Bombyx mori: one gene and its partner. The protein of the gene in region 1 binds, or shares a complex with, the protein of each later gene. Links are inferred from orthologs where the notes say so. Each region holds a gene or a part of one and is shown on either strand. Other genes may lie near its edges.

Region 1 (3,760 bases):
AAATTACAAATTTAACATCTGCTATTTTATGACCCATTCTTAAATTTCATGGAACTTTTTAACATTGTTTTTGTATTGTTTTCTCGTCAATATAGAACCTATTCTATTTCGTGGAACTAAATAACGTTGTTAATTTATCGCATTCTTTTCGAATGGACACGTGTCCCGGTGTACCGTCCTGTTTGTCAGACTTACTCAGTTTATCGTTAATCAATCGCGAGGGAAAAATCTGTTCTGCATCATGTCAAAACGGAAAATTAAAGTACTGTCATTAAGTGATAAACTTAAAATAGTGAATGCGTTTGAATCTGGAAAATCGCGAAATGACATTCAGAGGGTTCATTAGGGAGAAACTCGGGTTAGTGAGAAACCTCTATAAGCGAGAATGAGATTGTGCTCCCTTTAACTCTCGCTTATCCAGGTTTGACTGTAATTCATACTAAACATTATTAAATTATTAACATTAAATATTTATTATTAATTTATGATTATTAAAAAAAAAAAATTAATAAAAATTAAGTATAACTTCTTACGCGCGCACATAAGTACACGCACCCTTTTTTTATTTAACAATATAACAATATGTGATTCCACACAATGCAGTTTTGGAGTTCATGGATATTGAAATATTAACAAATTTGAGTCTAAAACAGCTCATGATTTTGAAGCCTTTTGAACACAAATTTAAACCTGTAACAGTCAGAGTTTAATGGCCTTTCAGCAGTTTTCACCATATTTTTGCTTAATAAAGCAAATATTGACAATGAATACAGTACAAAATCTTCAATAATTACCTCAGGTTCATAGCATGTGAGAGTGACATCTACAGGAGTGAACATGCAACCTTGCTTTCCATTTGGCACTCCCAATGGTACACAAACATATGCACGTAAACCCATTCGACCTCCAGCCAGCGAAGTGTCCAGAGTAACATGGACAGGCTCACGGCATTCACGGGAATAATACTCGTGTATAACAGAGGAGTGGTTGGTTACTTCATTGCCAGTCGCCCACCAACCTAAAAATAATACAAATGAGTTTGAATTTAAATGTATAAGGTATGCTAAGGGAAGTAAAAGATCCAATTTTATTAATTGGCAATTGTCAAGAGTGTTAACTATAAATGTGGAAGGCTATAGTGGAAGAGGTAGACCTAAGAAGAAATGGATGGATTGCATGAAGGACAATATGTGTAAGAGTGGAATGAGCGAAGAAATGGTATTATGATAGAGGAGTATGAACGGAGAAAATATGTTGCGCCGACTCCAGGTGACTCGGAGAAGGGCAGGAAAATGATGATGATGTGGCAATTAGTTGATAGTAAGATGCAACATGCTGGCCCGCAGATTTACTGGTTGCGATAGCTATGTCAAACTTACAATTTTTAAAGCTTATTGCCAGAATTTTTACGCCAGTAGTCTGTGGACCACATACACGCGGAGAGCTTACAATGCCCTACGTGTCCAATATAATAATGCGTTTAGGATGATGTTGTCACTGCCGCGCTTTTGTAGTGCATCCACAATGTTTGCGACATCTCACACAGATGACTTCTTTGCAATAATGCGGAAGAGAAGTGCATCGTTATTGCGTCGAGTTCGTGACAGTGACAACAGTCTTTTGAGAATCATATCGAGCAAGATCGAGGGACTGCTGATCAATAGCCTTTGCAGTAGGCACTTGGAAGGAGAAAAATAATAATATATAATGGTATAAAATGTATAATATAATGATAGTTATGTGTTAGATTTTTAAGTTACTAACATAGATTATAAGTAATTATTACTAACAAAATGTTATGGTTTTAAAAAAAAATAATAACTGAAATAAAGCATTAATAATAATAATAATAATAATAATAATTAGTGTAAATTGTGTGTGTATGCGTCTGTGAGTATTGTTACATATGTGAATTTGAGTATAATGCAGGTATAGCTCACCAACAATACTTTCAGAGGAATTGACTCTTCTGTTCAGCTCGTAAACATCCATCGCGTAATTAAGTTCCGCTTCGACTTGATCGGCATGTTCTTTGTGTGGCACGCAGAAGCAGTTGGTTACTTCCACCACTCCTTTGTCGCTCGTGCCTGCAGCAACAGCACAACATAACCTTACAACGCCTTTACACATTTGTATTGCACCTGGCTTATGTGACCAAGGAATTTATCAAATTAACTATAACGTTGATGTGGAAAAGCCAAAGTGAAATGTGTAATGATAATTGACGTACATATTTAGCATTTAGGGATTTTTCTTTTAAATAACAACTCATAAAATTTGGTACACGACATGACGTTGACAACTAATGTCCTTTGAATTTATAGTTATTGCATGATTTATAAATCAATACGAACCCAATAAGGTGCCGATAACTCTGTGAGAATCTGCATTTCGACGTTCGTATGCGTCCACAATTTGAAATAAAACAACAGGATGGACCTTCACACTAATATTGAGAGCCATTTTTAATTCGACCAAAACTACAAACCCAGAAACACAGAGTACAAGAGAATATTGTAGGTATTATCTCTGCTAATTTTAATTTTTTTAGGGATTTTATGAACTGGTAATTAAGACCTTTAAGTCATGTCTTATTTTTATGAAAAATGATAATATGGAGTGAAATGAAATAAAATGAAGATGATTAATTTGAGACATTAGGGTCAATTCCCACTGAAAGAGCAGCGGCGCGCAGCGGCCGTAAGAGCAAGTGATTGAGCGCGGCGCCGCAAGGGGCAGTGTGGCGCCGCGCGGGGCAGTGCGGCGCCGCGAGAGGCAGCGCGGCATCCCGAGGCGCCGCAATGAACCTCCGCGTAGTAGCTTTGAAAACTAGTGTGCGATCTACTTCACTCAAGGAAAGTTGTGTGGCAATAAATATGGTGGATTTGGATTTATGTATCATAGCACTGGCTGTAGAAGAAGAACAAGAAGTAACAAACAAAACGGAAAGAAAAAGGAAAAGAAAATTTTGGGTACATTTTTTTCTCACGGAGCGTAGCACGTTCTAACTTGATACCCTCTAATAAAATGACGCGAAATGCGTAAGCGGCAGGGCGGGCGGGTATGAAATGGTCGCTCGCGCGCAGCCGCGAGTCTGTTAGCTGCACCGCGGTCGGCCGCACGTCAGCTAGCTGCGCCGCGATCAGCCGCGCGGCGCCTCTTTTGACTAGTCGGTAGAAGGCTCGTGCAGCCTCGCGACGTCACGCTACCCCTCCTTTGCCTTCAAATGACTATGAACTTTTTAATCACGTAGATAAGATTCAAAATAGTTTGTAATATTTTGCCTAAAAAAGACGCTGCCGGCCGCTGCTCTTTCAGTGGGAATTGACCCTAATCAACTAGAATGAAATTAAATGAAATGAGATGATATGGGATCTTAGTAAAATGGTGGTCATTTACTGAGATTTGTGAAAGAAAAGGCGTTGTTAGCTGACAGTTATTTAATGAAAGGAATTCACAAGTTGAGCTGTCGTTATATTGGACACAGTTTTCGTTGTTGATGACATTTCCACAGCCAGGCTGCAGTGACGGCGCGGCCCTTGATTCGCGGCGCGGCGCCGTCGTCGCACACCACGTAATCTACGCGGCTGTCCTCATCCAGCTGAGACTTCTGAAAAATGTACATTTGTTTAAAATTAGGAAAATATGTATATTTATCCAATCATAGAGGAAATGTGACAATCATGAAATTTTTTAACTATTTTGAATTAATATAAATTTATATAAATATAAATATAAGAATATAAATTTATTGCTCTTG
Region 2 (3,687 bases), on another chromosome or scaffold:
TAGAGTCAAATGGAAGTAGCTGGTTTTTGGGAGCCCGGCCCAGAGGTCGGAGTAGTACTCCACACGAGGCCGGACCTGTGCTTTGTAGAGCGAGAGTCTTAAGCAAAAGTCGTAAGTTAACAAAATGTTCCATAAGGTACAACCTAATAAATAAACGATTAATTACAAATTGACGAACGGTAAAATATAAATACAGCGATAACGCGAATTGATACCACTTCCTTATTAAAGCAAATAATGAGACCTCACGTCTATAAGTGTAATTCGAGCCATATCACTTAACTTTATAGTATTTTTTTTAATTCAAAATCTGTAAGAATGTAATACAATTTATACATGGATAATAGAAAAAGATTGAACAACATTTGAGATTTATCATATAAATAAAAAATCTTTTAAACCTTAATTTTTATCATTACTAAAAATGGATTTGTTAAAGAATATTTACAAGATCATAATGCATTAATTGTTTTACATTTATACCGTAAACATTAGGATTAACTATCATTGTGATCCATAGTACAATACGCAAAATTACGGCACTTATTTATTGCATTGTAACTGGGATATAAAAACTACTATATTAATCTCATTAGCGTGTGTATGTCTTCGTATACCTACTCTTTTTAAAACCCAGAAATTTGTAAAAACTGGTATATAGTTCCAACAGTGTTTAAGTTTAATCGAGATGTGATATTCGTGGTAGTATTTTTAAAGGCTAATCTGTCGTATAGTGTCGATTGCAAATAAGGTATCGATTACAATTATCGATAGCTATTGATAGTCGATTTGGAGAGCTACACTAAAATGTAATCAAATCAAACGTTCTCTTGTGAATTAAAAATGGCGAGCCGTGCTGGTTCAGCTAGACGCGCTCCTGAAAATGAAGCGACGATCCAATATGTTCAGTGCGATGGACTGGTAAGTAAATTTAAAATTAAAGTTTAGATAGGTTCTCTGAGACGGACGTCAACTGTAGGTTTTAAATTAAAAACTTTGTGAAAGTTCGTGCCTCGACACGTCATGTATTTTTACCATTTAATTAATATATAGAAGTAAACATCGTCAATTAAGGTGGATTATTATGATCTGGAACATGATTCGTGTTGTATGATTTTAGGAGATCTTAGATTACAATAAAATAGGTTGCCGTTGCAATAATAAAGATAATTGTATAGGTTATGTTTTCAATTTTGTGCTCTCGTTTCTTTTTAAATAAATCGGGCAAACGTTGACAATTCACCAAACCTTGAATAATTCGTTATGTTAATTTCTATAGGATTCTATGAACCAAAAAACTTTCGATATAAAAAGAAAATAAAAGACTACAAAGGTTTTTTATTTCTGTTTACAACATATAAACGTTGTTGAGTCATTGACTGTTTTGGGACATTTGCCCTGAGCCCGGGGGTCATTGAAATAGGAGGATGATCTCACCTAACTGTACATCTAAAACATTAAATTTTCTCTGAACTATATAATTAGTGTTTTAAACTATGCTTCATTACAAAGTTTAGATCTTGATAGTATATGTGAAGTCATTTTTTGTTATATACTATACTACTATTTACTGATAATTTTATAGTTTCCTAACTGTAAATGATTGAGATTAGTTTTTGTTCTGATTGATTGCAAATAGCAAGCTGATTGATTTCCTACACATACACAGAAAGTTAATATAGCAATAATTTATTAGGGATGGGTAGGTATTAATTTGTTTTGTTAAACTTGTTACACATTAAAGTGTATTTTAACTTGCCTTGAATAATATCCTCTCTGAAGTTATTTAGTTGAAACATGCTTAAAGTAGTGGTAAAACAGTTTAATATGTGGTAATCAAACAAATCCTCATCGAACTAACTCAAGCATTTGAAATGACAGATCTGCTCCCACTTTTATAATATATTTGTGCTTTTTATTTTAGGCAGTGATGAAAATAGTGAAACACTGTCATGAAGAATCATGCAGCAACATGGAGGTGGCTCAGGGAGCTCTCCTTGGTTTGGTCGTTGAGAACCGTCTGGAGATTACCAACTGCTTCCCATTTCCAAAGCATGACGACACCATGGATGAGGAGGAATACCAGTTGGACATGATGAGGAGGCTTCGAAGAGTCAATGTTGATCATTTTCATGTTGGATGGTAATTAATATTGAAAATTGTTTTATAGTATGTCAAAATATGTCATACAATATTTTAAATTAGAACAGCAGAACTTTCTTTTTTCTTATACCTCATATCTTTCTTCAGGTACCAGAGTGCAGATGTAGGCAATTTTCTAAGCCTTTCGTTATTAGAGTCACAATATCACTATCAGACCTCTATTGAGGAGAGTGTTGTTGTGATTTACGATACAAAGAAATCAGCCAGAGGATTCTTGACTTTGAAGGCCTATCGTTTGACACCTCAGGTAATTAAGCTCTCATAACTATACACATTTTAAAGTGCTAATGTTGTTAATTGAGCTTTATGACAGAACTAATTTCTGAAGTTGAGCTATTTTATTTATTTATATTACGTATATTTAGTGAAGTTATCACTTGTTAATGCTAAGTGAATGGCAGAATCTATATTTTTGAGATATTTTAAATGTTTTTTATGGGGATACTATCTAAGTGGTCCATGCAACCTGCAGATATCACAACATGAGTGCATTAAGCGGTAGGCAGCGGCTTGGCTCTGCCCTTGGCATTGCTGAAGTCCATGGGCGATGGTAACCACTCACCATCAGGTGGGCCGTATGCTCGTCTGCCTACAAAGGCAATAAAAATAATAAAAAAAAATATATTTGATGTCTCACCATTAAACCAGAATGAATGTATGATTCCCAGCAAATATAAAGAGGATGGTAATGTATGTTCTTATACACATGTCTTAAGATGTAAGACTGTTCTCAATCCTTAAACACATTATTATTACGTGCAGAAATAATAGTAACTTGGACTCACAATATGCTCATCAACAAGCAAGTAAATTATTGTTGTTTTTTTTTTATATTTATATTGTGAAAACATTATGTATAGTTGGGTGTTCATGTATGAATAAGAATATATGTAAAATTGAGGTTAATACTTACTTTACAGGCTATTGCTATGTACAAGGAAGGCGATTACACTCCGGAAGCACTACGTAACCTGAAGATTGGCTATGAAAATCTATTCATTGAAGTGCCAATTGTTATCCGGAACTCTCCATTAACTAACATAATGATCTCTGAGCTCACCGAGATGATACCTGAAGAGGAAGGATCCAAGTTTTTGGATCTGGGTACTGCATCTGTTCTCGAAGGTTTGTTTAATTTTACTATGGTATACAATTATCAGAAAAGCTTTCAAGATTTAGGCTACATCTGACTACATCAATTATGGGTTGATTCCTTTGCTGCAATCTGAAGCTACTACTTTTCCCAGTAGTTGTTTCCTAACTGCTATATTAAACTTGTAATTTTTACTATGTGGAGGAATGGCAATAGACAATTTTAAGCAGGTGAGCTTTCACTATCATCTTGCTTATTAATTCTACTAAGAAAGTGTCCTCTTAAAGGGTACAGATAAACATCCATCCAATGTCATTAAAACTTCGATTCCCTTATGTTAATATGAGGTGGCTCTTAAGAGCCTGAAGATTATGTTTCTTCCTTTACTTAAATGTTCATATCTATATGTTGGTCATCATAAACAATCTACA

Evidence for each region. Proteins that work in one complex are often made in the same cells at the same time.
Region 2: eukaryotic translation initiation factor 3 subunit F (region 1) and eIF3h share a complex: the UniProt entries of both Drosophila melanogaster proteins name them as parts of the eukaryotic translation initiation factor 3 (eIF-3) complex. The link is inferred for Bombyx mori from reciprocal best matches to the Drosophila melanogaster genes eIF3f1 and eIF3h.

Annotation. Positions count from the first base shown.
Region 1 is NC_085124.1:491,147-494,906, forward strand, and holds the start of eukaryotic translation initiation factor 3 subunit F, read right to left. Parts: upstream 2,519-3,760; 5' UTR 2,464-2,518; coding exon 2,355-2,463; intron 2,088-2,354; coding exon 1,941-2,087; intron 1,019-1,940; coding exon 795-1,018; intron 1-794. Other genes in the region: DNA repair protein XRCC1, read right to left, coding at 3,473-3,610. UniProt on the Drosophila melanogaster protein: Component of the eukaryotic translation initiation factor 3 (eIF-3) complex, which is involved in protein synthesis of a specialized repertoire of mRNAs and, together with other initiation factors, stimulates binding of mRNA and methionyl-tRNAi to the 40S ribosome.
Region 2 is NC_085110.1:3,930,900-3,934,586, forward strand, and holds the start of eIF3h (eukaryotic translation initiation factor 3 subunit H), read left to right. Parts: upstream 1-827; 5' UTR 828-843; coding exon 844-921; intron 922-1,924; coding exon 1,925-2,142; intron 2,143-2,250; coding exon 2,251-2,410; intron 2,411-3,083; coding exon 3,084-3,288; intron 3,289-3,687. UniProt on the Drosophila melanogaster protein: Component of the eukaryotic translation initiation factor 3 (eIF-3) complex, which is involved in protein synthesis of a specialized repertoire of mRNAs and, together with other initiation factors, stimulates binding of mRNA and methionyl-tRNAi to the 40S ribosome.